Mus musculus: one gene and its partners. The protein of the gene in region 1 purifies or fractionates together with the protein of each later gene. This does not show direct contact. Links are inferred from orthologs where the notes say so. Each region holds a gene or a part of one and is shown in the gene's direction. Other genes may lie near its edges. The genes, in order: Srprb, Rnf185, Stx18, Srpr and Tmem259.

What was found.
Region 2: the proteins of Srprb (region 1) and Rnf185 purify together in Homo sapiens (affinity purification with mass spectrometry; 3 studies listed by BioGRID and IntAct, with this or other methods). This does not show direct contact. The link is inferred for Mus musculus from reciprocal best matches to the Homo sapiens genes SRPRB and RNF185.
Region 3: the proteins of Srprb (region 1) and Stx18 purify together in Homo sapiens (affinity purification with mass spectrometry; 3 studies listed by BioGRID and IntAct, counting the BioPlex papers as one, with this or other methods). This does not show direct contact. The link is inferred for Mus musculus from reciprocal best matches to the Homo sapiens genes SRPRB and STX18.
Region 4: the proteins of Srprb (region 1) and Srpr purify together in Homo sapiens (affinity purification with mass spectrometry; 6 studies listed by BioGRID and IntAct, counting the BioPlex papers as one, with this or other methods). This does not show direct contact. The link is inferred for Mus musculus from reciprocal best matches to the Homo sapiens genes SRPRB and SRPRA.
Region 5: the proteins of Srprb (region 1) and Tmem259 purify together in Homo sapiens (affinity purification with mass spectrometry; 3 studies listed by BioGRID and IntAct, counting the BioPlex papers as one, with this or other methods). This does not show direct contact. The link is inferred for Mus musculus from reciprocal best matches to the Homo sapiens genes SRPRB and TMEM259.

The regions. Positions count from the first base shown.
Region 1 is NC_000075.6:103,198,125-103,204,142, reverse strand, and holds the start of Srprb (signal recognition particle receptor subunit beta), read left to right. Parts: upstream 1-2,077; 5' UTR 2,078-2,083; coding exon 2,084-2,231; intron 2,232-2,761; coding exon 2,762-2,856; intron 2,857-5,276; coding exon 5,277-5,354; intron 5,355-6,018. UniProt on the Homo sapiens protein: Component of the signal recognition particle (SRP) complex receptor (SR). Ensures, in conjunction with the SRP complex, the correct targeting of the nascent secretory proteins to the endoplasmic reticulum membrane system.
Region 2 is NC_000077.6:3,449,277-3,455,297, reverse strand, and holds the start of Rnf185 (E3 ubiquitin-protein ligase RNF185), read left to right. Parts: upstream 1-2,341; 5' UTR 2,342-3,089; intron 3,090-6,021. UniProt on the Homo sapiens protein: E3 ubiquitin-protein ligase that regulates selective mitochondrial autophagy by mediating 'Lys-63'-linked polyubiquitination of BNIP1.
Region 3 is NC_000071.6:38,104,056-38,109,575, forward strand, and holds part of Stx18 (syntaxin-18), read left to right. Parts: intron 1-822; coding exon 823-938; intron 939-2,508; coding exon 2,509-2,586; intron 2,587-2,770; coding exon 2,771-2,837; intron 2,838-5,520. UniProt on the Homo sapiens protein: Syntaxin that may be involved in targeting and fusion of Golgi-derived retrograde transport vesicles with the ER.
Region 4 is NC_000075.6:35,213,066-35,218,386, forward strand, and holds the end of Srpr (signal recognition particle receptor subunit alpha), read left to right. Parts: intron 1-64; coding exon 65-221; intron 222-317; coding exon 318-471; intron 472-681; coding exon 682-770; intron 771-871; coding exon 872-990; intron 991-1,121; coding exon 1,122-1,208; intron 1,209-1,494; coding exon 1,495-1,667; intron 1,668-1,752; coding exon 1,753-1,966; intron 1,967-2,401; coding exon 2,402-2,565; intron 2,566-2,649; coding exon 2,650-2,748; intron 2,749-2,872; coding exon 2,873-3,001; 3' UTR 3,002-3,938; downstream 3,939-5,321. Other genes in the region: protein FAM118B, read right to left, coding at 4,669-4,682, 4,864-4,923. UniProt on the Homo sapiens protein: Component of the signal recognition particle (SRP) complex receptor (SR). Ensures, in conjunction with the SRP complex, the correct targeting of the nascent secretory proteins to the endoplasmic reticulum membrane system.
Region 5 is NC_000076.6:79,980,545-79,986,595, reverse strand, and holds the start of Tmem259 (membralin), read left to right. Parts: upstream 1-2,335; 5' UTR 2,336-2,464; coding exon 2,465-2,686; intron 2,687-6,051. UniProt on the Homo sapiens protein: May have a role in the ERAD pathway required for clearance of misfolded proteins in the endoplasmic reticulum (ER). Promotes survival of motor neurons, probably by protecting against ER stress.

The DNA.
Region 1 (6,018 bases):
GAGGCAGAGGCAGGTGGATTTCTGAGTTCGAGGCCAGCCTGGTCTACGGAGTGAGTTCCAGGGCAGCCAGGGCTACACAGAGAAACCCTGTCTCAAAAAAACAAACAAACAAAAAAGCTCCCAATTAAATGCTTTCTTCTGTATTGGTCATGGTGTCTTTTCACAGTAATAGAACAACAGCAACTATATATTTTATAGTCATTACAACCTACATATTTTAACTTCTAAATATCTCAGAAATTTTACCCTGTATTTCACACTTTCAGTGTTTGTTTGTTTATTTATTTATTTAATGTATGTGAGCACACTGTAGCTGTCTGCAGACACACCAGAAGAGGGCATCAGATCCCATTACAGATGGCTGTGAGCCACCTGATGTGGTTGCTGGGAACTGAACTCAGGACCTCTGGAAGAGCAACCAGTGCTCTTAACCACTGAGCCATCTCTCTAGCCCCGGATTTCACACTTTTATCCTGTGTTAGACTCCAAGTATCTTTTGCCTAAATACGACAAGAGACTCCCATTGATTCCCCCAGCCTCAGTCTTTTCTCTCTCCAGTCACAGTTCTCCACAGATCTGCCAATTATCCATGTCACCTTCAGCTTATTGTTATACTATGAGTAAACTCTGAGTTCTTCAGCATAGCACACAAAACCACTCCCAGGTCTGATTCCTACAAACTTTTCCAGCTGCCTTTCTGCCACTTTTGCTTCCATGGACAATCTAATCATTCTTATACATAGCCTGTAGCCAGCGACTCAGTATCTGGCGATGGTAAGGCCAACGGAGTGGCCCTCTCGAGTGGGCTTCTTCTCACCTGCCCTCTGCCTTTTGAGGATGTATGGAAATCGAAATCACATTGCGAACCTTCCAAACTCAAACTTTAACATCTTTGTTTCATTTCCTACCCAATCACTCACTGCCACACTAGAGAGGAAGGGAATGTCTCATTTCCTCTCTTCCTGGTACCTGCAGGAGTTGGGGTTTTATGTGGCAGTGCGACATTTTAATGAATTTGTTTAGCCTTTAAGTGACATCGACTTTTCCTGTCATCTCCCAGGCAGACCTGTACTTAAATACTTTAAAATAATGACAGCTACTTAATGACAGAGGCTGCAAATGGCCCTCGAGGCTTGGCCACTTCTGACTCGCAGAGATATTTTTAAATTGAAGCTCACATTTTTTTTTAAATGTTTCGATTACCCGATGAAATCTTAAGTAGAAGAGTTCCCATGAAGATCTTTTATAAATAAGTCCTCTTGAGAAACTGAAAAATGTTGTCTACTCTGGGCCTCTCAAATGGCCTACCTGGTTGAGTAGGCCTGCTTCCTTTGGGTGGGAATGATCAATCTATCGTCGACACCTCCACATCCTCCCGAGCACTGATTTTCCTGATTGCTTTTTAAAATGCAGTCATTTTTTTCCGTGCTGGACGTGTCAATGCAGGACACAGAATTCCCGAGTTTCCCACATGTCATTGGCTTTTACTCAAGCTTCTCTTCCGTGCGTCTTTTTCTGTTTTCTTTAGTTGCCGGTATAGGTTAATGCATCCTCCAAGATTCAGGTCCATCTCTAGCTACTTTTCTCTGACCTCATAAAGGACTTGATGTGTCTTTGTGGATTCTCTGTGACTCCATCACATCTTCGGTCACATCATACTGTGGTAAAATCTCTCATAAATTTCATCCCATGTAACGGCCGAGTAGAAATCCTCACCCTCAAATGAAGTTTTGTAGCCGTTAATTTTGCTAAAAGTCATCATTCTTTCAAAAATCGAAATGAAATGGGAGTAGAGGGGTGGGTTTGACCAAAAGACATCATATTCATTTATGAAATTCTCCAAAGATAAAAAATTAAAATGCAAAGAAAAAAAATTCCACAAAGCTATACATGTCTCAAAGCATGCCGATATGAATACACTCGCTAACTGGGTTGTAGAAACCAAAAAACTCCAACTCCCATCAGGCACTTAGCCGAGATACCCCTAAGGGACTACAACTCCCGTGATGCCCCGCGCCCCACCACGGCGTGGAGCCTAGAGCCACGTAACTTTGGCGGCCCGGGAAGACTACACACCTCTTTCATGGCTTCGGCGAACACCCGGCGAGTTGGCGATGGCGCCGGTGGCGCCTTCCAGCCTTACCTCGACTCCTTACGACAGGAGCTGCAGCAGAGGGATCCGACGCTGCTCTCCGTGGCGGTGGCTCTCCTGGCGGTGCTGCTGACGCTGGGTGAGGCGGCCGGCATTCACGGCGAGGGCAGGGTGGCTCGGCGCCGCAGGCCAGGGAGGCGGACGGCTGCGTTCCCTCTTCTACTACTCGTCTTCCAGACCCAGCAGTGTGGAAAGGGGACGCTGAAGTGACCTGGGTCTTGGGACAGGACTTACATGAGGCGGCCCTGTGCGCTTGAGCGCTGCGGCCGCCATCGTTCATTCCAACTTTGAGCCACTTGTGTCTGAACTGGGCTCTGAGATACTGGGGTACTAAGGTAGAGTAGAAATCCACCAATCAAATGTAGCAAGCCACTAATTTTTCCCAGATCCATCATTCTGTGTATACTTTTAGTCTCCACATTTGGATGAGGGAAATAGACGTGAAAAGGTTTACAGTTGATAGTGGCTGGCGCTCCGTGAGTTCCTAACAAAACTGACTCTAATCCGTGTGACAATGAAAGTAGTCCAGATGGACGCTTTGTTTTTTTGTCGTAAATGCCTACTAATAATGTCTTTAGAAAATGAAGGCTGCCTTTCTCTTCTCTGCAGTGTTCTGGAAGTTCATCTGGAGCCGAAAGAGCAGTCAGAGAGCTGTTCTCTTCGTTGGTCTCTGTGACTCTGGGAAAACGTTGCTGTTTGTCAGGGTAATGCTTTGATTTTCACCTCGGTTAGACTTAAGAGGGATGGGTAAGGCATTTCCGTAGCCCTGTCATCTTGCAGTTTATTTGGTACAGCAAGTTTAGGACATGTTTTTAAAAATATTTTTTTTTCTTTTTAATTATATGTATGTGTGTGGGTATATGCACATGAGTGCCTGTACCTGTAGAGGCCAGATGTGTCAGATTTTGTAGAGTCGGTCTTCAAAGCTGCCTGATGTGGGTGCTGGGAATTGAATTCAGGTCCCTTTGCTAGAAGCAGGATGGGATCTTATCCAACTTAGTTGAGTCTCCAGCCCTGGGAGTTAATTCTTTTTTTTTTTTTAAGATTTATTTATTATTATATCTAAGTACACTGTAGCTGTCTTCAGATGCACCAGAAGAGGGAGTCAGATCTCATTACAGATGGTTGTGAGCCACCATGTGGTTGCTGGGATTTGAACTCAGGACCTTCGGAAGAGCAGTCGGTGCTCTTAACCACTGAGCTATCTCTCCAGCCCCCTGGGAGTTATATAAAAAAGACTCTAGGAAAACCTGTAAAAACACACACACACACACACACACACACACATACACACACGATGCTGTTAGAATACGTGGTCTGGGGATGGGGAGGTGACTCAGTCTGTTTTCTTGCCTGGCAAAAAAATGAGGGTCTGAGTTTGGATCGGTGGCACATACGTGAAAGCCAGGTCCAGAAGTTCTTGTCAGCAATCCCAGGGCCTAGGAGGTATGGATCCCTGGAATTCCTTGGCTCACCACCACCCATGCTAGTTGGTTTTCTCCCCGGGTTCAGTGAGAGACCACAGCCTCACAAAAGGTGGCTGGCTGTGTGGTGGTGGTCCATGCCTTTAAAGCCAACACTTGGGAGGCAGAAGTAGGAGGATCTCTTCAAGTTTGAGGCCAGCTTGGTCTGTAGAATGAGTTCCAGGACAGCCAGAGCTGCACAGAGAAACCCTATGTCAGGGAAAAAAAAAAAAAAAAAAAAGCAAAAACAGTAAATAAATAAGGTGGAGAAAGATTAAGGACTCCCGACATCAACCAACCTTCAGTGTACATACACCTGTTAAAAAATGCATTACCAGTTTCTTGGGCTACTCAGAATATAATGGTTATGGACATACATTTTTTTGTTTGTTTGTTTGATTTTGTTTTTTTCCAGACAGGGTTTCTCTGTATAGCCCTGGCTGTCCTGGAACTCACTCTGTAGACCAGGCTGGTCTTGAACTCAGAAATCCACCTGCCTCTGCCTCCTAAGTGCTGGGATTAAAGGCCTGTGCCACCACTGCCTGGATAGACATATATTCTTAAGTGTAGCTTGCGTTCTTATTCTTTCTTTAAACAATCAATAAAGGATAAAGGAAGCCCAATAACTTTTGCTGATTTCTGTGACTTAAAATAGTCCCAGCATGGCTAGTTCTGAGCAATCCAGCATTATCACAATCATGACAAAAATTACCCTCCTTCGACAGTCTTAAGCTAGAGAGGCCTCCCTTTACTAACACTTAGTTTTATGTAAGCCAGTGTATTTTAACTGAACATGTTTTACTATGGAGAATTTACCCTCTTCCTTTGGAGGGTATAAATAATAATAATAGTAGTAGTAGTAGTAGTAATAGCTATTATTATTTTAATTGTGTGTGTGTGTTCATTCATGTGTGTAAGGGCTGGTACGTGTGAGCCTTGGCACATCTGTGGAGGTCAGAGGACCAGAAGTGTTGGTCTTCTCTCATTGCTGTGCCAGGCAAGCTAGTATGAATTTCTGGAGATTGTCCTGTCTCCCTCCCATTTTCCCCATAGGAGTACTGGGCTTGTGAATGTGTGTACTACTAGATCTGGGTTTATGTGGGTTCAGAGGGGCTGAACTTAGGTCATCAAGGTTACACAGGAAGTGTTATGTCCACTGAACATCTCCTGAGGCCTTGAGTTGGTTTTGGTGCCTAAAATCTTTACAGGTCAGTAATTTGGCCCCTTGCTGTTGTTTAAAAATAATACTAATAATGTTGGGCCCAGGGTGCCACTTTCTGATGGCACTGCAAAAAGAAGGAATAAAGCTTGTAATTAATTATTATTATTATTTGGTTTTTCGAGACAGGGTTTCTCTGTGTAGCCCTGGCTGTCCTGGAACTCACTCTGTAGACCAGGCTGGCCTCGAACTCAAAAATCCGCCTGCCTCTGCTTCCCGAGTGCTGGGATTAAAGGCGTGTGCCATCACTGCCCGGCTGTAATTAATCACTATTCTACAAGTTAAAAATAAAGCAGTATGATCGTTTTCAGCTGTTTCAAGTAGCATTCGTTCATTTGACCTTACTCTCCACAGAATGAAAATGTCATTTTTTACATTGCATTCAGTGTTATTGTAACTCGCTTACCCTGATTTGTCTGTCTTGGTTTTGTTTTGTTTACAGTTGCTAACTGGCCAGTACAGAGACACACAGACTTCCATTACCGATAGTTCTGCCATATACAAAGTCAACAATAACAGGGTAAGAGGTATCTGGAATGTTCTAGAATCTGACACTCTTCTTTACTAAGTTCTACTGTCATGTGTGTTGCTGACCCAAAGCAACTTGGGGAGGAAAGGATTTAATCTGTTTACACTCCCGGGATGTAGTTCATTGTTAAGGGAATTCAGGGCAGGGTCCTGGCAGCAGAAGCCATGCAGAAATGCTGCTTGCTGGTTCACTCTTCAGTTCACTTAGCTAGATTTCTTCATAGCTCCGGACTACCTGCCTAAACATGGCGCCTCCCACATTGGACTCAAGAAAATGACCCATAGACATGCACACAGGCCAGTCTCATGGAGGGACTTCTGTTGAGGCTTCTCTTGCATGGCTGGAAGCTGTGTCAAGTTAACAAAGCTTACTGGGGCACTGTGGCTTGTCAAGGAAGAACCTTCTTGGATGGAGTAGTCTGAAGATGTAGGTACCTTTTGTGTAGCTTCATTTTACGTAGAACATATTCTGTATAACAAACAGATCTGCCCTCGATAATATAGGTAGCAGATTTAGTCCTGCCCACCCATCCTCGTAACTTACGTACAGGGTATAAGACATTTTATTTTTAGGTTCTGTCTGTCCAACATTACTATGAGGTTCAGTAAGTACTGGGTCTTTTTCGGGTATAAGGAGGCAGTATGTAGACACAGGA
Region 2 (6,021 bases), on another chromosome or scaffold:
AGCAGCCTTCGTGAGCCCGCGTTCCAGGGAAAGGGACCTCCAGACTGGATGGACAGCTGGAGAAAATAAACCACTGTACAGATGTGAAGCTGGAGCCGCGCTGTCTGCTCGCGTGATGACGTCATTTCAGAAAGCACAGATCAGGAATAGGCTCAGAATAGGATTCCAGAACAGGGGCCAGATAGCTCAACGGTCCCGAGTTCAAATCCCAGCAACCACATGGTGGCTCACAACCATCTGTAACGAAACCTGACTCCCTCTTCTGGAGTATCTGAGAACAGCTACAGTGTACTTACATATAATAAATTAAAAAAAAAAAAATTCCAGAACAGAGCAAAAGGCTTCCTCCTTGCTACACCCTCAGAGACAGGACTTTTGAGGGCCAGGCCACAGTACTTAGAGACTCACATACTGAAGCTTGTGTTGTCAGCGGGTGGAAATCAGGATATAGGTCCTAGCAGCTGGAACTGCTGGCAGTGTAAGCACGACCCCAAGTCATCTGAAGGGGCTTCAGGACTCTAACTGCCTTTGGTCCCTCGGTGATTAGAATGGCCAGAAGTCCCCAGAGGGTACTGAGGAGTCCCCAGGACCTCCAGCAAGCCAGTCCACTGTGCTTTGCCTTTGGCTAGCACAGCTCCCCAGGGACAAGGTAGGGACTCAGGTCTTGTCCTGACTCAGCCTGGTAAACTGTACTGGGATCCAATGTAACAGGAGATAACAACAATAGCAACAACAAAAGATACATCAAGATTAACATGGACAGGAAGTCAGTTTGTAGAGAAAGGGCTGTAAGAGACCATGCACCAGTATGGTGGATACTTTTTAGGGACTTTGCTCAGCTTACTAGCCCACTTCCATTCTTGGGTAGTTTTGTTTTTTTATATGTATGAATGTTTTGTCTAGAAGCATATATACTCACATGTTCATGCAGCACCCAGGGAGGCCAGAAAAGGGTATCAGATCCCATGAAACTGGAGTTAGGTAAGGTTGTGAATCACTATGTGTGTGGTTCCTTGGAATCAAACCTGGGTCCTCTGGTTCCCCGTCTTCACAGCTGAACCATCTCTCCAGCCCGTTTTCACCTCCCTCCCTTCCTTCCTCTCTTCTCTCCCTCTCTCTCCCTCCCTTCCTCCTACTCTCTGTTTTTTGTTTTTGTTTTTTTGAGCTGGGTTTCTCTGTGTAGCCCTGGCTGTCCTGAACTTGCTTTGAAGATCAGGCTGTCCTGGAACTCACAAAGATCTGCCTGCCTCTGCCTCCCAAGTGCTGGGATCAAAGGTGTGCACCGCCAATACCACCTGTCCTTTTCCATTTCTTGATAAGTTGTCTAATTTTATTCCATGCCTAGTTTAAAAGGTGTGACCTTTTCTCCATCTTCTGGCAGCTGTTAGAGTTTTCAACTAGCCTTGATTGCTTTTTTCAAACTCTAATAAAGTTGTCCTGAGCTTCCTTTGAGTCTCTTCTAAATTCTTGTATTAATGATACTAAGAACCCCCCAAAGAATCTTACTTTTTCCAGGAACAGAAGGAGGAGGAGTATTCTGACCGATCCCTCAGGTCCCCCACAGGTGGAGCTAGAGATTGATAAGGTCAAGGACTCTGGGGAGAGGATGCAGGCTCACCTGCCATCTGGCGTTTGGGCTTTCACACTGGCAAGCAGAAGCTGAAAGCCATCCAGTACAGGATACAAGGCCGGTGTGCCAGCCCTACCTCAGCTTACACACAGGAATGCTACTGCTACTGCTTGTCCGAGGCAGGACGGAAGTCCCTTCTTGTTCTACAGAATGAGGTGTGCCGGCTCTCCACCCCCCACTCCCCCCACCCCTGCAACAGCACAGCTATGCAGCTTTGTAGGAGCTGCACAGCAAAATCACTCACCTGCACTGAGCACTGTTGCACTGGACTCACATGTTTTTATATATGGAAAGCTAAAACACCAATTTTTCTAGTTATTTTTAAATATAATAAATGCACTTGCTACTGTAAAAAAAAAACAATCCCTCATTGGTTACAAGTTCATCTAATTAGTTTTAAAATAAATTACCATGTATTTATTAAGTGTCTCTGTATACATGTGAAGGTCTGATGACAACTTGCCAGACTCCTTTCCTTCCACCGCTGGGTTTCTGGGGACTGAACTAGAGTTGACAGGCTTGGCAGCAAACATCTTTACCTCTGAACCATCTCATGGGCTCCAATTAGTTATACTCTTATTACCTTTATTATTTTGATACTGAAATTTCACAGATTTGGCTAGTAGAGTCTTCAAGAGAGCTCCTGGGTCGTTTTGCACATTCTCATCCATCACCACTGTTAGCATTCCTTCTAGGCTCCGCCCCACAGTTACCTGGCAACAGCGAGGTATGCCCGGCTTACTATAAAAGGGGCTGTTCGCCCCCTCCTCTCCCTTACTCTTTGCCCCCTTCCCCCTCCGCCCTCTCTCTTCACGCGTTCCTGGCCGGCCTCTCTCCCTTCTCCTCATTCTCTACTCCCTTTCCTACTCCACTTCCCATGCCTCCTCCTCCTGTTCTTCTTCTTTATAAAACAGAACAACCACTGACCTTACTTTCTTGTACAAGGCATTCCAAACTGGTATTTCTAGAACTGGCTTTTTCATCCGCCCATTATTTTTGCGACACGGTCCCATGTATCCCAAGCCTGCTTCGAAAACGACATTGAAGTTCTGACCCATCACCCGAATGAATGCTATGATTAGCTGGCGGGTACGCACATATTTATTCCCACGTCTTCACGCGGGCGAGGCGAGCTCGCCCATCCACCGAGCTGCCTTCCCTCCTCTTCCAGCGCTAGGAAACCCTACGGAAAGACCAGACGCCCTCCCCTTCCTGTCCCGGGGCGGAACTTACCAGCCGGGCGCCTGGGCCGGAGAGCAGCGCTGCACACCAGCCTTTTCCGGCTGGAACCGGAAGTTGTTCTACTAGAGGCGGCTCCGCGTCAGGTGACCAAGTTCCCGGTAGGAGGGGTCGGAGGTTCAATCTTTCTGACTGACGCGTCTCTAAGACTGGCTCGGCTACTCCGGGACGGGGGAACGGACAGCTGGCGTCGCTGGCGCTCGCTCTACCGCGGCGGCAGGTAGGTGACGAGCTGGGACGGCGGGCCCGGGAGGCATGGGACCCCCTTCCCAGGCTCAGGGATCTGAAGCCAAGGGCCAGGAGTCATCCAGTCTGGCTCTGTCCAGGTCCCAGAAGGAAGGTCAGACTGGCATCCGTGGGTACAGATTGGGCAAACTAAGGCCCCAGAAAAGGGAAAGAAGGGTGCGCACAAGCTCCCCTTCCAGACGGGGCTCGTCCTGACTCCCGTAGCCTCGGGGGCGGGACCGCCTCTCTCGTGGGTGGCGATTTGGTGGAGTGGAAAGATGAGGAATGCGGTGAACAGATTTGGGGTGAAGCGTAGGAGACCTGGACTTGAGTTCGCTGCCTGCAGCTCACTGTGCGTTCGAGGCCAAGTCTTTGACCTCCCTGAACCTAGTTCCCACAGCTGTACAACCGGGCACAGCTGTCTCAAAAGCGTGGGCCTCCACAGCACCTGCTCCGAAACCCTCCGGGATGCCGGCTCTCCAGCCCTGGGCTTTTCCCACAGCTTGTTTCGAATCTGGGTCTGGATCCTAGGAAACCTTATTTTGAACGTTCTCCTCTGGAGTCCTACTCGTGTTTGAAGCCTGCTCATCCGAAGTGCGGTCCCGCTGTGAATGCGGTACTCGATTCGAGGCAGCTGGAGCCGGCTCGATTCTATGAAACTTCTAGCTTAGGAAAGAACGCCGGAGGAGAATAACTAACTATCTTTAAAAGCTGGCGCGGGGTGGGGGTGGGGGTTGGGTGGGGGAGTTATGGCAAAGAGGCCTCCTGCTTGATCTTTGTAGCTGAAAGAGGTACAGCTACGATTAATAGGTAGGTTCTAGGGGGAAGACACATGTGTACTTACTATTAAGAATTTAACGGAAGAATTATCAGAGGTGACGACTGATGGGGATTGACTGTCTCCTTGGGAAAGGAAGTATACAGGAGGCGGCCCTTTCCAATTTAAAAGGCTCGTATTAGTATTTATTGTGACTCTTACCTCTCCACTGATAACTCTGTCTTCAGAGTGTATGTGATACTTCTTTTGTGGTCTGAGACAGGGTCTCAGGGATCTCAGGCTGTCCTCAAGCTCCTTTTGTAGTTGGCCTTGAACCCGGATCCTGCTGTTTCAGTCTTAAAGAGTGCCAGGATCACTCGTTACTTAGTACCATTATGCCTACAGAATGTGACATTTCTTTGTCTTCCCTTCTGGACTCTCCTCCCTAGTTTATATCTCCTATCAATAAGGCCAGCACACTTGATCTTATGTAATCTTTTACTGGTTGTCACATTTGTCATCCTTCTTTTCATCATCCTTTTTGGAATGATCCATTATCTGATAAAAATTATCCAAAGTATATGTTGTATTAATAAACAGGAAATAAAAATTAATTAACTAAAATTAATACATTGGTCAGTTAGTAATTTTTGTTTTACATTTAAGTTTTTAAAATTTATTTTAAGTCGGGGTCTCACTCTGACATTCAGCTCAGGCTGAGAACAATTTAGAAAGTCAGTCTCTGTCTGTCTTATCTGTGTCTCTCTGTCTTTTTCTCTGTCTATCTCTGCTCTCTTCCTCTCTGCCTCCATCCCTCTCTTCCTTTTCCAGAGTATTATTATGTAGCCCAGGGTGACTTCAAACTGGTCCCCCTGCCTTAGCCTCCCAAATGCTGGGATTGCTTGTTTTGCCCAAGGCTTTGCTTGCCAGTGGGCTCTGATTACAGAATGGAAGGCCAATTCAGTTGTTTGGGTCAGTCTTCTCTCTGGTTTATAAACTGAACTTTAATTCTTTGTCTAGCAGTGTGTGTATAGGTGTGAGAGTGTCTGCAGTTTTTAAGCTAGCTTTCTGGATGCCCAGCACATATGACCAATTCTTTTATGGTCCTGACTTGCATACCTATAGCTTTGTAATCTAACTTTAGATTTCCTTATTTTGCACTTTACCAGACACTAAGTAGATAACTTTTCCATCTCCCATTAGAGTACTTAAGAATGCTTATGTTGTCTGGAGAAGCAAAGATTCCATATTATGACCCAATTCTGCTGACACTTCCTCCACAAAACAAAAGGTTGGGGTTGAACCAAAAGTTCCTGCCTGTTTTCCTGTTGTTTATGTTTCTCAAGATTAAAAAAAAAAAACAGTTGTGAAATGGTCATTCAGTTGTTACCTAACATTCGAGATGGTTTGGCCTTAGACTCTATTGTCATCTCGGTGGTAAGGAAAATGCTCTTAATTTGTTGGATTTTTAAAAACTTACTAATTTGGGGGTTTCTTTTAAAGGGATACTTGATTGATGTAAATGTGTTCTGCTGGCCTGTGAAAAATAAATTTGATGGTAAAAATAAGTTTAGGAAAAGCTACTGGCCGTTACCCTTTCTTTTTGTTGTTGTTGTTGTTTTCCAAGACAGGGTTTCTCTGTGTAGCCCTGACTGTCCTGGAACTCACTCTGTAGACCAGGCTGGCCTCGAACTCAGAAATCACCTGCCTCTGCCTCCCGAGTGCTGGAATTAAAGGCGTGTGCCACCACGCCCGGCACCATTACCCTTTCTTAGTGTTGTAATGCAAGTTAGAGTTCTCACAATAAAAATTCAGGCTTTATAGTAAGCTGGCATAATGTTTTGCTTGCTTGGTGTTACCAAACTTATTTGGTATAAAACCTCTTTTTTTTTTTTTTTTTTTTTTAAATCCTTAACACAGGGCCTTTCTCTGTAGTGTCCAGGGTGGCTTTAAACTTTCTCTCCTGCCCCAGCCTTCCGTACTGGGATTACTGTGCTCCTGCTCAGGGTTATTTTTATGTTTTGTTGTGTTTTGCTTTGCTTTGTTTCGTGTGTGTGTGTGTGTGTGTGTGTGTGTGTGTGTGTGTTCCAGGCCGAGTTTCTCTATGTAACAGCCCTTGCTGTTCTGGAACTCTTTGTAGACCAGACTAGCCTCAAACCCATCAAGATCT
Region 3 (5,520 bases), on another chromosome or scaffold:
GTAATGTTGACTGAGTACCATGGAGGCCATTGTTTCTGGAGTGAAGTCAGAGTCACTTACCATAACAGAGTGGAAACCCTGTGACGTGGGTCACAAGTGGAAATGGGATGGTTAGGACTTTGTCTTCTGTCCTCATGGCTAGATGACTAGGTAAGTGAAGATGGGGTGGTTTGTCTCTGCATTACCCAAGTGCCCCTGCAGGCTGCAGCATGTGAGCCTGCAGTTCAGCTGTAACGTACAGAGTGTTGAACTAGGCTGAGGGGTGTCACTGCCACTGATTACGCTACACTCCCTCCCGCTCTCTTGCAGGGGAGCCAGGTGCTCTGTACTGTACTACATAGTGCTGTGTTACTGAAAAGGGATGCCCTTCCCAGCCTGGGCACTGCAGGAGGTTTAACTTAACATCGGGGACATAGAGTTTGTTTCTGCAGGCTTTTTATTGTGAAGTTTGAAAACTGCTTTCCTGTGTTAAAAACAAACAAACAAACAAACAAAAAACAGCGCACACAAGTTTCTCATGTTTCAAGATCATGTAGGGTGAGTGGCTTGCCCTGCAATGGAGTGATGTACTCCTCAGTCAGAGCCTCTGTTCCTAGCAAAGCTGTGCACTGCTCCTGCTTCTGTGGAAGTGATGTCGAAGACTGTACCTCATGGCCTTCTGCTCCACTCTCCAAACCATTCTCACACCTGTTGGTCTGGCCACTCCTCTCCAAGCCTTAGCATTAATGTCACTTGTTCAGGGAAACCTTTCTTCTTGACAGTTACCCAGGCTGCAGTATGTTCTCACTGACACCACTCTCATGCTTTCTTCCTCTTTTTTAGCCACACCATGTCTGACTATGGGAGGATGACAGACACAGAGCGAGACCAGATAGACCAGGATGCTCAGATATTCATAAGGACCTGTTCAGAAGCAATCCATCAACTCAGAACAGAAGGTGAAGTGCTCTAAAAGATGCCAACAGATCCCATGACTGTGCCAACCAGTTCAACAACTCATTGTGCAGCCACGTAGCATTCCTTCTTTCTTTCCGAATGACATTTAAGACTTAAAATTTTATAATCCTTCTGAGATAAGGTGATCAAAGCCCAAAAAAGATCATCACTCAAGTTTTAAAAAATGGAAGGCAGGAATGGGAAGGACTTTTCTAAATAGAATCCATAACCTACCAAAGCCCAAGGTCAGAGGGACCAGATTGTGTCTATGAAGACATGCATGTATGGCTATGTTCTGAGTGGCAGGATGGATGCATGTGGCTAAGGGTGGAACGGTATTCCCTGAGATCTACCTGTCCTGTTAAAGTCAGCTTCCATACAAGACATCACGGTTAAGAGAAGGCTCCGCAGCTATTACTTAAAAGCTATGCACTGGAGCTCTGCCACATGCTAGCTCTGTGACCTCGGGCAAATCATTTCATCTCCCTGGGCTCAACTTTTACAACAAAACAGTACAGATGATAATTAGGCATATCTCTTAAGGTTCACTCAAATTCTTACAGTGTGCTTAGAACTGTGCCTGACACTAGGAACCTGGTATTATTCCCACCCCACCCCCCTTCATTGGGTTTCATCCTTGTTGAGGAGCTAGATGGGTTTCCAGTCTTATGTCTTCCTTGATTCATAAGCATATACATTAATACTACAGAGGTCAAAGTTGACAGGTGCTGTTGGGCCCATGGCAGAGACTTCTGCTGGAGAAACTTCTGAAAGAACACTATCAGCCACCAGGGAAGTCTGCTTGTCAGAAAAATATGCAACATACAAAATTCAGTTTTCTGTGTCCAGCATTGCAAAGCCCCTAGATCATTATGTGAGTAGTCCCAGGTTATAGTCCTCTGGTAAAAACATAACCTGTACCCCATACTCTTAAGGACATTAGTTAGGCATTTATGTGACTTTAGACTACATACTGCCTCTGAACCCCAGTGGTCACCTGAGGTAGCTCTGTGATGTCCTATCATCATGCCCGCACCCGGGGCACCCAGCCCCTCCACCAACAGCGGTATCTTACTATAGGAGCTGCCACAGCCTTCTGGGTGGTAGCGCGTCCTTGTAGCTCATCAATGGGAAAGGTTCTCAGAGAGCAGCATAGTATGGATAGTGCCACTCAGTGTCTACGGGGAGAAAGCAGCCACTGTAAGCTGAAAAGCAACTCAGGCGGAAGGCGTCTGGGTTTCTAGCACGTGTGATTTAAGCATGTCACTTGAAGGTGAGCCTGGGCATTGGATGCTGTTAATACAGCCAGGTCAGCATTCCGGAAGGCGCTGGATCAGCTCTGCTCCCCCGGGGCTGTAATAAGCTATAAATTATTTGACTGCAGTTTCTATGGGTTTAATCTCTCACCTGGTGAACCCAATAAATCTTACTCTTAAAAATGTAGTCTCACTTGACATGAGGCTGTTTTATAGCTGTGCTTTTGAACATGCTTTCACTGAAGCGCTCTGGGGAAGCTGACTGTTCTGTCGGGTCCTTGAGCACAGACCTGAGTGCTGTCCTTTTCTCTTACAGCCCACAAGGAGATACATTCCCAGCAAGTGAAGGAACACAGGACTGCCGTTTTGGATTTCGTTGACGATTACTTAAAAAGTATTTCATTTTCTTCTAAAGGTCAAATGTGGTATTTCATAAGAGATGCAATTTAGAATGGAGCTTTGCTAGCTGAAGACCATAGTGTCTCATTAGTTTTAATGATACCTTTGCCTACGAAGCCATTTTAAATGGTCTCTGTTCTTCTTTTTTTTTTTTTTTTTTTTTTTTTCTGCTTCGACAGGAGTGTGTAAGCTTTACTCTGAACAAAGAGCCATCCGAGTGAAGCGCGTGGTGGACAAGAAAAGACTGTGAGTATTGCTGCCTTTGCTCTTCCTCAGCAATGGCAACCAGAGCTCGTAAAGCTCCAGCCCTATTGGCTGCTCTGTGCCGTTCTCACCCGTGCTGCCATACACTGAGGAGCACGAGTGAGCTGAGCATACACTGTCTACTAGGTGGTGCTAGTCAACTCTGTTAGCCCACAGCAGCCCATGAGCAGGTCCTCTCTTTCATTTTCTGAGGATGCTGAGGTTCAGCGGGTTAGCAAGCCCCATAGTCTCATGGCAGCTGAACCGGTATTGAGCCTTCACCAATTCCTCTTTCTTTTTTTGTTGGGAGTAGTAAGGAGACAATCTGGTTCTATAGTCCACACTGGCTTTAAACTGCCATTGAACCCATTGTTTCTGTGCTTCCACATTCAGAGTGCAGGGGTTACAGGTGTGTGCCATCTACCCAGCTTCCCACCCTGTTCCTTAATATCCCTATGAAGTGGGACACTTGGCGCTGTTTGACCTTGGTCTCTGCCCCCATAACTCCATCTTTGAAAGTTTTTCCAAAAAAAGGGTTTTCACAGTGACCAGTGCTCCCCTGTATGACAGTATGACAGAATGTATTCAGGATTCTGTGTGTATTGAACCCACCCCTCCCTCTACTCCAAAACCCTTTTTGGCATGGTTGGCGGCCAGTTTGCCAAGGCAGGACCCAGGGGAGCAGGCCTGACTCTGGTGATGTATGTCTGTCATCTGTCAGTATGGTAAGGTGACCAGTCACTGGCTGTCACAGTCCCCAGGGAGGAGAGGCATGTCTGCCGAGCTGTTGCAGGTAGAGACAAAAGGAGGCTGAGGCTCATTCGGCCTTAGTCTTGCTTTTAAGGAGAAGTTTCCTCTGAAGTCCACACTGATGTCAGTCAGATGAGAAATGTACAGCATTACCCTAAGCAGAAGACCTTGGGGGAGCAGCCCTCTGCTCTTTAGCTTTTTGAGGCAGTCTCTGTACTTCTCAGGTAGGCCCTGAACTCAGGTCATACCACCTCAGCCTCCCAGATGTGGGTACTGGCATTTCTCACCACTCTGACTTCTTTCTTGTTCTTTTCTCATCTTTAGACACAAGACATCTGCTTAAAACATACATGTAGTTGTAATTTTATGCCCCCTTGTGCCCAGGTCTCATAAAGGTGAAATATGGCAGATTGAAGGCTATAGTGTTTCTATCATAGCTTTTGTTTCTGAATCAGCCCCCAGCTCCTCTGCTCTGCAAGCCTTGTGCGACTTTGTTCTAAAGGGGCTTTGCTTTTCCTTCCTGTGAACACAATTCTGTCATCCTTCTAGCCCCAACTCAAATGTCACCTGTCCCCTGTAGTGTTCCAGCTGCTGCCAGGAGTATTGTGCCTCCCTTCTTAGTAGGCTCCCATTTTGTTGTTTACAGTCAGGTACAACACACACACATACACACACACACACACACACACACACACACACACACACACACACGGCAGCGGGGCTCAGCCACCGTTGTGTTTCAGCTCATGGCACCATCCCAGTCCTTTGAGGAGGCCAATGAGCAGAGTGTTCGCCATTGTCACGAGGTGGTTCTCACTACTGTTCTGTTTGGGTTGCTAATGACTGTCGTTAAGAAGTTGATTAAGGAGTCTAGCTGCTCATATTCTGTAGTCTCATTTGTATGGTGAAGGAAAACATACCTGTCGAGGTACAGCTTGATTGCCCACTGTAATGTCTTAAGAGTGCAGATGATATTATGTGGTAGCTTTTGTTCTCACAGAGTAGAGATCTTTCTATCATACCAAAGGGCTCTTATTTCACATTGCTGAAAGTACTTTGCTCATTAAGCCAGAAGTATTCCCAGCAGACCACTCTGCACTTCTCTACAGTGACTATATTGTCTGTAAGTGATAGCACTGTTATTAGAGGTACCTGTTTTCATCTACCCTGATGGCATTTGTCATTCTGAGCTGACAATGGTACCTGTTCCATGTTGCCTCTAGCTAGAGAGGGATAACTACCCTTGATAATCCCACCTCCCCACTTTTTTTCCTGCAAGAATATAAATTTTTTGGAGGTGGAGACCACTCTTTTTTGTCAATGCATTGATCAGAGCCTGCTACAAAGTCCATTCTCAGCCATTGGTACCTGAGTGAAGGAGACATCCAAAGGGGCATGGCTGCTCACTCCTGGCTCATTGATTTTACAGAGTAAAAGCTATGTGCAACAATATTGGATGTAGCATTGGCACAAGTGGCTCCGTCATCCATCCCCAGTGAGTTTTAAATCCACCTCTTTTCCTCTTGATCTCCTTAAATCTCTGGTATTTTGGGTGATTGAAGCTGAAATGGCCATCTCATGCTTTGGTGGCATGCACTCTCATGAAACATCTGAGCTATCAGAACCATGTTCTCTCCAGAAAAACAGCTTGTGTATCATGAGAATCAGGACTAGGCTGAGACCCTTGTCTGCTGGTGCAGAGGTGCCTTTCATATGTCCAGTGAATGTCAGGTGCTGTTTGTGCTTTCCAGCTGACCTGGCTCTGAGGTTTGCAGGGTCCAGGCCATTTAGTCAAACCCTTCACTTTTCTGGGACAGTGTTTGTATGAGCAGAAACTTTTAGGGGCATTCTCTGTCTCAAGGGAGATCTAAGAATGGAAGCTATTTGTTGAAGGTTGTAGCTTCTTCAAATACTGAGCCCATTACAAAACAAGGTC
Region 4 (5,321 bases), about 68 Mb from region 1:
GTAGTTATTACCTGGGTGGTTGGGATTTATGTTTCTTTTCCTCCAGTGAGGTTTCTTTTAACAGGTTCTGATGGCACTTTGGCTACTAGCAAAACAGCCCCTGCAGAAAAGTCAGGTCTCTCAGCGGGACCTGAGAATGGAGAACTTTCCAAAGAGGAGCTGATCCGTAGGAAGAGAGAGGAGTTCATTCAGAAGCATGGCAAGGGTCTGGACAAATCCAGGTCAGCACTGTTACCCTGTCTCTGGTGACTGTTACCCAGCTGTGCTGGGGCCAGGGGACTCTCCTCTCATGTTCCTTCCTATGTCATCCTTTGCAGTAAATCTACAAAGTCAGATACTCCAAAGGAGAAGGGCAAAAAAGCACCCCGGGTGTGGGAACTAGGTGGCTGTGCTAACAAGGAAGTCTTGGATTACAGTACTCCCACCACCAATGGAACTCCAGAGGCAGCCCTTTCTGAAGATATCAACTTGGTAAGATGCATAAAGGTCAGAGTGAAGATCACCATTGGCCAGAAATTGGGAAGGAAACATCTGGAGGGTATATCTGGATTTGAGAGAGGAATGAACTATATGTGGGTTTTTCTAAGGTCTCAAATAATGTTGCCAGGGTATATCCTGGGCTCTTCCCCTCAGCTGTTAGTGTTCTTGATCACACCTCTTTTCTTTGCCTGTGTTCTCTAGATTCGAGGAACTGGGCCTGGGGGACAGCTTCAAGATCTGGATTGCAGCAGCTCAGATGATGAAGGGGCCACTCAAAATACCAAGCCTAGGTAGAAGGATTTCAGGTGGGAGGTGGTGTGGATGCAGAATTGATGACCCATACCTCCTGCCTGCTGGCCTAACGCATACTTGTGATCTTCTGTAATTGTAGTGCTACCAAGGGAACTCTGGGTGGCATGTTTGGGATGCTGAAGGGTCTGGTGGGTTCCAAGAGCTTGAGTCGAGAAGACATGGAATCTGTGCTAGACAAGATGCGTGATCATCTCATTGGTGAGTCTGGAGGACTGGCTTGACTGACGGACTATGACATAGTTCATTAGGAATAGAACCATTTTCTAAGCTGTGCTCTTGAGACCCGATCATTGTTAGCTCGGAACTCACAGCTGTCCTTCTCTTCTCAGCTAAGAATGTGGCTGCTGACATTGCTGTCCAGCTCTGTGAATCTGTTGCCAACAAATTAGAAGGGAAAGTGATGGGGACATTTAGCAGTAAGTATCTCCACAAGTCACAAAGTGCTCGTGCGTCTCAGAGGTGATGCAGTCAGACAGCTTTGGTATGTGCCTTTTGGCACACATGTTTGAGTTCCCAAACTTCTATGATAGAACAGCCTTTAGGACCTAACAGGACAGTTAATTGAGATAATAAAGTAATAGAACAGTGTGATCTGAATTCTGAGGGAAAACCTACTATGGTCTTAACTCCATTAGTTCAGAAAGATGTTGGGTATCAAGTATATTTGACTTTATGATTGAATCCATCCATCCCCCTTTTAAGCTGTGACTTCAACAGTCAAGCAAGCTCTCCAGGAATCTCTAGTACAGATCCTACAGCCACAGCGTCGTGTAGACATGCTCCGGGATATCATGGATGCCCAACGTCGCCAGCGCCCTTATGTTGTTACCTTCTGTGGTGTTAATGGAGTAGGGAAGTCTACCAATCTTGCCAAGGTCAGCTCAGTTCCACAGCCTGCTTTTCCACCCTGTGCTTTCGAATCCTGGGTCTAGGTGACAGTTTTCTTTAACTTTTTTGCAGATTTCCTTTTGGCTTTTAGAGAATGGCTTTAGTGTCCTCATTGCTGCCTGTGATACATTTCGGGCTGGGGCTGTTGAGCAGCTTCGTACACACACCCGGCGCCTGACTGCCCTCCATCCCCCCGAGAAGCATGGTGGCCGTACGATGGTGCAGTTGTTTGAAAAAGGCTATGGCAAGGACGCTGCTGGCATTGCCATGGAAGCCATTGCCTTTGGTACAGTGTGGGGACCAAGGGGGCTTGTGTCCTTGTCCTGGGAATTTGCACAGACTAAGGCTATTACTAGAGAAGTCAGGGTAAATTACTTGTGTGGGTGGTTTTGGGTAGTAATGTGTGTAAAGGAAAGCTGGTGTATCCTAACTGTAAACCTGAATGTGGTCTTTTTCCTACTTCTTTCCTTTCCCTGAATGGTTTTGGTGGTGGCCAAGAATAGGACAGGTTTTTCCTTACGTTACCTTGTAACCAAATCCAGAGTCTGGGCAAGTAAACAGGATAGGCTTTTCAAATAACCCACACTTGGACATCTTAGGAAGCTGGCAGTGAGCATGGGTGACAGTTGGGTGACTTTTCACATAGCAGTGTAGGAAGTCTTGAGAAGTTGGTAGTGTGAGTGAGTTACTTGCTTGGAGTTGACTGCTTTTCTCTTTCTAGCACGTAACCAAGGCTTTGATGTGGTGCTGGTAGACACTGCTGGCCGCATGCAAGACAATGCCCCTCTGATGACTGCCCTGGCCAAACTCATTACTGTCAATACACCTGACTTGGTGCTGTTTGTAGGGGAGGCCTTAGTAGGCAACGAAGCTGTGGATCAACTGGTGAGAGGGTTTGGGCCCAGTTCCCTTTAGAACTTAAACTTTGGCAAATTAGATGGGTTCTTATGTTACCTTTTCACTTTCTAGGTCAAGTTCAACAGAGCCTTGGCTGACCATTCTATGGCTCAGACACCTCGGCTCATTGATGGCATTGTTCTTACCAAATTTGACACCATTGATGACAAGGTAAAAGTGGATGACTGGATAATGAGACTGGGAAGGAGGAATGGCTGACTTTAAAGGAAATGGAGGCGTTGAGTGAAAACAGGGCTTGAGTTGATTGATTGGCCATCCATTTTCTCTTCTTCAGGTGGGAGCTGCTATCTCTATGACATACATCACAAGCAAACCCATCGTCTTTGTGGGTACTGGCCAGACCTACTGTGACCTACGCAGTCTTAATGCCAAGGCTGTGGTGGCTGCCCTCATGAAGGCTTAATGTGGCTCTTGCCTAATACCAAATCGCCGCTTGCCCCAAGTCCCTATTCCTATATCAAGAATGTGCTTTAGAGTATGTGAGCAACTTGTCTTCAGTGTAGTACAAAGGCAGAGTGAGGGGAGCTTTGGAGACTTGCAGCTCCTTCTAACCCAATCCTTTGTTCAGCCCTACCTCCTTCTGCAAGGAGGGCCTAATCATGTTACAATCACTGCCCAATGACCCTCCCTCTTCCTACTCAGGCATCCCCTTCACTCTGCCTACAGACTCCATATCATAGCTTTGACCAATGGTTGAAAAACCCAACACCTGGAGTGTTGCTAACTAGTGTGATCACAGAGCCATGGTGAGATAAGGAGCAGTTTGAGGTCCCAGCTCTAATGGCTTAATTCCAGAGCCAGCTCTGGATCTTAATGGCATCTATCTAGAAGAATACAGCTTCTGGGTCCCTGGTGTCAGGATGACAGCCACCTCACTGTGGCAGTGATGGTGGCCCATTCTTAATTGCTGCTAATTATAAATCTGGTGATGAACTCTACACCCGATTGTTGCCCCAAAGCATCAGTTAGGCCTTGTTACAAATGAGTGAAAGGCGAGTGCCCACTTCTCTCAGAAACACGGGGAGCAGAGTTGCCTTCCAACCTGTGCCTGCTCCCAAAATCTAGATGGAAGCTTTGCATGTTTCCTTCCTGGGAGAAAGGGATTGTTGAGAAGGATTCCTGTTGTCCCGTACCCACCCCACCCTCAGCCTCCTGGGCAGGTCCTGGCTTTTCCTCATTCTCTTCTACAGTGCCTGGTAGACAAGTGCTACGTTGAAGAACACAAACCTCTTGTTAAGACTTGTCCTGTAGTTTGGTATTACAGATGTGCTACTAGTGCAATAAGGTGAAGGCTGTCTGCCCAGAGAAATACATAATTTATATAAGAAAATAAATTTCATAAAGAAATTGCCTCTTAGGTTCATATTATTTTATACAGGATATAAAATAAGAATGCTAACTCATACTAACTATATAGTTCTTGAGCTTCTTTTTGGCAAGGGCATGATAGGAACTAGTAGTGCTCTAAGGAATTGGGTAAGTGCCTGTCCTGAGAAGGATCACCACCCTATGATGAAAATAGAAGAATGCCAGTTTTTAACAGTAACTCTTCAAAGTAGAGCCAGAGTTCTGGCAAGTAAATGAACAAGCTTTTAATACAGCTCAGTTATGTAAAATACTGTACACTGTAAAAGATCTAGAAAACTAGAGCTTCAAGTCATGTTTTAAAAAAGCCATAAGCTCAATTGAAAAACCAAGTGGAGTACAAAACTGCAACAAGAGCCCACTGACTCCATGACTTCTTGCTCCTCAAGTCCTGCAGAGCTGCAGCCATAGCCAGGAGTCATCACATTGGTCTGCTGTGTAGATAAGCCTGTCCAGTCTTGGGGTAGGTAGGAGCTGCATTGGGTCCTGATGTCATTGGGTGTTAAACTGGACCAGGCAGCAGAGTATCAAGAAACAGCCAGCATGAAGGGAAGGTGCAACACTGCCACCCCTATTCTACCCCAGGCTTCAACTTCTGGGTATTGGTACTTCCTGGGAGCTCTGTTGAGTTCTTGCAAGTTTGCTTGTTAACACATCCACAGGAAGGCCCCACAGCATGGTCTAGTGGTGATTTCTCCAGCTTGCTCAAGTACTACAGCCTATGGAGAAACAAAAGACAATAAAGTTCCATAGAGCAAGTCTACATATCTGAAGCTGCAGGTGTTTAAATCACTCAGTCCTAACTTTTCAGAAAGAGCAGATTCAAAGAATCTCAAGACAGGTAGGAGAGACAAATTATAATTCCCTATAATATGACTGACAGAATAGGAAATAATATACCTCTTATTTCACCATGTGCTGCAGATGAACCATTTAGCTGACCTTCTCTTGCCATCCCTGCTAAAAAGAGAATATTGGTATAGACATTAGATGAAGCTGAAACTTTTTCAAAAAATGTCACTACACAGGACAACTTTTGAGTGTTTGTTTTCTCCACTATGTGGATTGCAGAAATAGAATTCAGGTCGTCAAACTTGGCAGCAAATGCCTTTACCCATAACTATCTTGGCAGTCCCTGGGAAAGCTAAAACTATTAATGGCAGAAATGAAAACTAAGGGGAGCTCAGGGCACAGCTAAAGAGACACTTAGGACTGACACAAGGTGAGGTTAAGAATAACCTTCAGACAGTCATATCAAACAGGGACATTAGACTCCTTATTGCACTAAAGTTGCTTTTTGTTTGGATGGATCTCACTATGTTGCCATGTTAGGTTATAGTTCCAAACCCTCTAAAGCT
Region 5 (6,051 bases), on another chromosome or scaffold:
GACACTAATTATCAGCTCTCTCTGAACTCCAGGCTCCTTGTCTGAAAATCAGATGAGTTAATATTTGCAAACTCCTCTTGGGGCGGCTGATATAGATGTCAAAAATCTTAAGAATTCTGGCCCTAGCTGCTGGAAGCTGGCTGGGCCCCAGGATGACTCTCCCTGCCAGGGTCACACCTTCCGGGGGACAGACCATCTCTGCAGTGCCTGGGATCTGGGTGGTAGTGCTTCTGCTGTGGGTGTGGTGACCATGCCCTTGAGATCACCACTCCGGAGGCAGAGAGAGGCAAGAGGATCACTGTGAATATAAGGCCAGGCTGCTCTACAGAGCAAGTTCCAGAACAGCCAAGGAAAGACCACAAACTCAAAAAGTAAATAAAGTAAAATCCCATCTCTCAGTCAAGCCTTGCTTGCTCTGGTCGTGAGCGATATGACTGACTGACGTGTTGGCCTGTGCTGGAGGGAACCCCATTGCTTCTCCACGAAGGTCAGGCTAGGTTTTTCTAAAGCTCGGGTCACCCAGGGACGTTTCCTATTTTCAAACAAGTGACAAGTGTATTCCATAATAGTTTCAAGACTGGTACATTTATTAGGTGCCTACTGTGTTGCAAGGTGCTCTGGGTAACAGCAGACGGTGACTCTGGGGTATCTGAAAGCTAGGAGGGAGGGGTTCCCTTCGCTCAGCCGGTAAAGCGCCCCGCCCTTTTCCTGGCCGCCCAGTCCGGATGCAGAAATTCTCATCTTGTTCCATCATACAGATGCTCCTAGTCCTTCCTTCAAGCTGGAGGTATATAGAAGGCGCACAACGTTAGGGCACGGTGCATACAGAGACAGCTCTGCTGCGTCCTAAAAACAGACAGCTTCCTTCGAGTGCGCAGTAACCGGTCAATAAATGCCCTTGTTCAGGCAAATTGTACGGGAATGTGGCAGCTATAGTAGAAAAGGAGACTTCAAAGGGTCAATTGCGTTATTTTGAGATGAAACAAAATATGGAACGCTTCACGAATTTGCGTGTCATCCTTGCGCAGGGGCCATGCTAATCTTCTCTGTATCGTTCCAATTTTAGTATATGTGCTGCCGAAGCGAGCACAAGCGACGGTTTTTTGCCTCAGGTATTTAAAGGCAGAGAAGCAAATTACTTTTCACATACAGTAATTATGATTTTTTTTTGTTTTTGTTTGGATAAAGTAACGTTTTCACATGTCAAAAAGAAAGGCTACCACTCATAACACCGCTCAGAATAATTATCTATCCGCGTGAAAGCTCACATTTAACTAATTAATATAGCTGTCTGGGAGAAGCTTGTGCCAGCGAAGCCTTCTGGGAAGTCATATGCAAATTAGACAGGCACTACGAGGCTCCGCCCCTCAGTGGTAGCCGGATCAGCGCGGAATCCGTGATACTGGTGCGATGGTGAAACTGTCTGCTAGTAAACTATCCATGGAATTTCGCCCTTCAGCGCTGCGGCCGCCAATGAAAACATTATGCTAATGAGCAGTTAGGAAGCCCTGCCTCCCAGGGCAGGGTGGGTAATGAGTCCTCAGCAGACCCCGCCCCTAAGTGAGGCTGTGGCCAGAGTGAAGCCCTATGTAAATAGGCCTTACTAAGTGCGTCTCCGCCCCCTCTAATTCTCCGCCAATAGGAAACCATATACAAATACGACGGGCAACGTCGCCCCGCCCGCAGGTGGATGCAAATGTTTTAGCTTGTTTCTGAGACCACGCCCCACAGATCGCCCACCGCTAACCTGGATCCCTCCACAAACCAAACGAATTACACCCGACACTGCCGCTCAATGCTTAAGATAGAGCTCTGGGCTAAAGACATGGCTAAGAGCACTGACGCCTCTTCCAGAGATCTTGAGTTGAAGTTCCAGCCTCCGTTATGGTGGCTCACAACTCCTTTCTGGTGTATCTGATGCCCTCTTCTGGTGAGACTGAAGACAGCGACAGTGTACTCACATATATAAAGATAAAGCTCAATGCAAATGAATCGTGACACACGACTCCACCCCAGGCCGTGCCACAGTATGTGGGAGTGAATATATGCAAACAAACGGGGCTGCTCTTTAATGCACTCCGTGTAGCCCCTGCAAATTGCAAGCTCACTGCAAACGAGACCGGACAAAGCTTGAAGGAGCACTAGGAAAATAAACTGAACTCCATGGTACTCTGCCCTTTAGCGCTGAGGCGACCCGCATGAAATGTGTAAAGTCAGGCTCCGCCCACTACTCGTGGTGCCCGCCTTTCGGCCCTGAAGCCCGGCCTCCTCGGGCGGCCGCGGCGATCCCAGCGTGCCCCGCGCACGGGCGGCGCTCTGGCCCGGCGCTCTCGCCGGCGTCGCGGGCCGGACGGACGCGAGCAAAGGGGCAGGCGGCGGCGGCGGCCGGGGGCGGCGGGGGGGATCCGGCGGCCGGGACGCGGCGGGGGTCAGCCGGCGGCCGCCGGGGTGACGCGGGGCGGTGATGTCGGAGCACGCGGCAGCCCCAGGGCCCGGGCCCAACGGCGGCGGGGGTGGTGGCGCGGCGCCCGTGCGCGGCCCTCGCGGCCCCAATCTCAACCCCAACCCGCTCATCAACGTGCGCGACCGGCTCTTCCACGCTCTCTTCTTCAAGATGGCCGTCACCTACTCACGCCTCTTCCCACCTGCTTTCCGCCGCCTCTTTGAATTCTTCGTTCTGCTCAAGGTGACCTCTGACCCCTGACCTCTGACCCCTGACCCCAGCTGTCATCCGCTCGCCCACCCCCGGCAACTTTACCACTTGGCTCCTGACGCCTGGATACCCTGATACCACTCTTACAGATGCTATCTCTGGTCCTCACTTCCTCAGCTCTCAGGCCCCGCCTCCTGCCCTTTGGCCTCAGTCTGCCACTTGGGAGCCTAGGCCCCAAATTTTTCCACTCAAGACCAGAGCCCAGTGTCCTCTTGGAGTAGGATTTTGGACTCGAGGTCCACCTTCCCACCTGTCACTCCCATCCTGTCCTGCACCTCCACTGAGAACAATATGGTCATTTCCATTCCATTCCTGACTTTCCACTGTAGACCACCTCCTGTGCTGGAGGCCCTGTCCCGCCTGTCATTTCTATTCTACCCTGATTCTCTCAGTCCAGTCTCTACTAGTCAGTCCCATTCCAGCACACCCTGAACCAACCCCCTGGGGACAGCCCCCTACCCCCCAGTGTCACTGCTCAAATTTTCTGTTACTTCACTGTTTTCAGACTCTTGCCAGGTTTTCTGTGGCTTTGGGTGAGGTCATCTCACTAGGGTCAGCCACAGAGTCACAGCCAGATTGGCCAGGGACCTCTACAGCCAGCACCTGCCCTGGCTGTGTCTTCTTCATGTGCTCCCGGGAGATCCCGGTTCTCGGTCACAAAGGCTACTCGAGGGATGGCACCAGGCTCTCTCTGAGGAGCTGCCTGGGCCTTCTGGTGTTGGGGTCATGGCTTGGTGGCTGGCATGCTGATATTGGAGGGCATTGGTGAGTTTGGGACTCACTCCTGGTGCTTCTCAGAACTGAGCGTTCGGGGGTTTCATAGGTAGATCTAGCTTGAGCTCAAGACAGCTGTGGGCATCCCCTCAGGCCCCAGTTCATTGGCTGCAGATGAGCCCATGCTCCATCTTCCTTCCTGCCCTCCACACCCTCAGGGCTCCGGGTGGGTGCCCAATGTCTAGTCAGAGACAGGGTCGGCTGGATGACAGTAGACCTTATCCTCTTTCTTAACTGGGATAAACAAGCCACACAGCAGCTGGTTTCTGGAGCTGCTGACGTTTCTGGGAGCCCATTTGCTGTGTTTCCTGCCCGTCCTGCCTGCCCAGCTTCCACCCAACCTTCCTAGAAGGGACGCCTCACAGCCAAGGCCTGCTAGGCTTGTACCACCCTGCGCCCTGTTCCCACCCCAGCCTAGGTGTCAGCTCCTACAGAGGCCCAGAGAAGAACTGTTGGGCTTGGTATCTCCTCTGCTGGCTTCAGAGCCTCAAGGACCGAAACTGGGCAGCCATGGGATAGGGGGGCACAGCATGGTGCCTTAGACCTTAGGATGTGGCAGGGGTCAGAGGGCAAGGAGGTATGTGGCACCAGCTCAAGTCCCTGCACCAAGTGGATTTGAGCCCTGAAAGGTGCTAAGTGGCACCCTTGGGTGGGTCATGATCTCGTGGAGATCCTGGCTGAGGCTGGTATTTGGTTTTGTCTTTATAGTGTAGAATAGAGTTTATTCATGGCTCAGGGAAGGGAGTTAAGAGTGTAATAGAGAGCCAGGCGGTGGTGGCGCACGCCTTTAATCCCAGCACTCGGGAGGCAGAGGCAGGCGGATTTCTGAGTTCGAGGACAGCCTGGTCTACAAAGTGAGTTCCAGGACAGCCAGGGCTACACAGAGAAACCCTGTCTCAAAAAAAAAAAAAAAAAAAAAAAAAAAAAGAGTGTAGTAGAGATAGAGAGTAGAGAAGTCGAGGCCGGCCACAGCCGTGAGCATGGGGAGAGAGGGGGAAAGGAAGAGCCCAAGAGGACAAGAGAGAAGCAAGCATATGAGTGAGGCTGGTATTCTGACCCCAGTGCAGGCTTCCCATTGGTCAGATGAACTGACAGCCCAGACACAAGACTGGGGTGACAATGCAATACTCCATCCCACCCCCGCTTACAGGGTAGGAGGTTTCCCAAGAACCCTAGGTCTTGGCATTGAGGTGTCTGTAGGAGGTGATGGTGTGCAGCCCCACCAGGCCGGTATAACCAAGTTCAGTGCCTGTGTATGTGGCATCAAGTGGGCACATGAGGGAGGAGTGCCCAAGGGCCTGAGTGGGGTGACTGGCACGAGTCAGTGACCAGTGAGGACTCGTGGGCTGGCCACAGTGGCCATGGTGGGAAGAGAGGACCCAGGCTATAACCCCTGTCCAGTGGCTATCTTATGTTGACTCTAGATGCCCAGTAGGTGGAACAGGACCTGGGATACAGTTCCTGGCTCTTGGATTGGACTGGGAGGAGTGACTGCTGCGGTCTCAGCCTGGGCTGCTTGGCCTTCAGTTCACCTGATACAGAAATGATTTCTTGCCCAGGGTGAACCTCACAGTTGACAGGGTGGGTGCAGCTTCAGGTGTGGCTCGCTGGAGACTGTAGCCTTGGTCTCAGTCCCTGGGCCTTCCACACATGCTCTGTATTCCCTCAGGTCACTGCTAGATGGGCTGAGTGCTTTGTGGGTCCAGCTCTGTCACTAGATTGCAGAGGAGAGGCCTGGCTACAGGCACATCAGGATATGGAGCAGGGCCTTTTTGCCTGCTTCTGTCCCTTACACTGCTGCCTAACAGCAGGTGGGGAGGGCCCTACTGTGCTTGCTGTGGCTGAGTCCCTTAGGACTGTGGTCTGGGAATCCAGTCTCGTCCCTGAAGGGTGCAGGGATGTGAGTGCACACAGTGGGTGTGCCGGGATGTAAGGACCTCATGAGTCCCATCACCCTACTCTATGTTGGGCACCTTATTGGGCCAGGGTCCTATGCTGGCCAGCAGAGACATGGTGGGAAGCTAGGGTGTCAGTTGGGGCCACAGAGGAGGGTGACCCTAGACAGCTACATGGAGTACTGGGTCTCTTTCAGCCCAGTGCTCATGGTGCGCATGTGCTGTCTGCAAGTGTTGCACGACATCCCTGCTTCCACTCAGCATGGGTTAGGGCAGCGAGCGGTTCTCACCCTTCCTGATACTGCAACCCATTAATACAGTTCTTCATGTCATGGTGACCCCCAACCATAGTTTCTATTCCTACTTCATAACTAATTTTGCTATTATTAATTGTAATGTAAACATCTGTGTTTTCCAGTGGTCTTAGGCAACCCCTGAAGGGGTTGCGACCCACAGGTACCACTGAATTAGGCGACCCCCCTACACACAGACACATAGCCACCCACACACTGAGCAGGAAAAGAGAAGGGTGTTCCCAGAGGCTGGGACCCCTTGAGTAACTCTGCTCCAGCATAGGGGCGTTTGAGATTAATAAGTAATATTAATAGTTGATGCATGCCTTCAATTCCAGAGTCAGAGGGAGGGGGAATCTCTGAGTTCAAAGCCAGC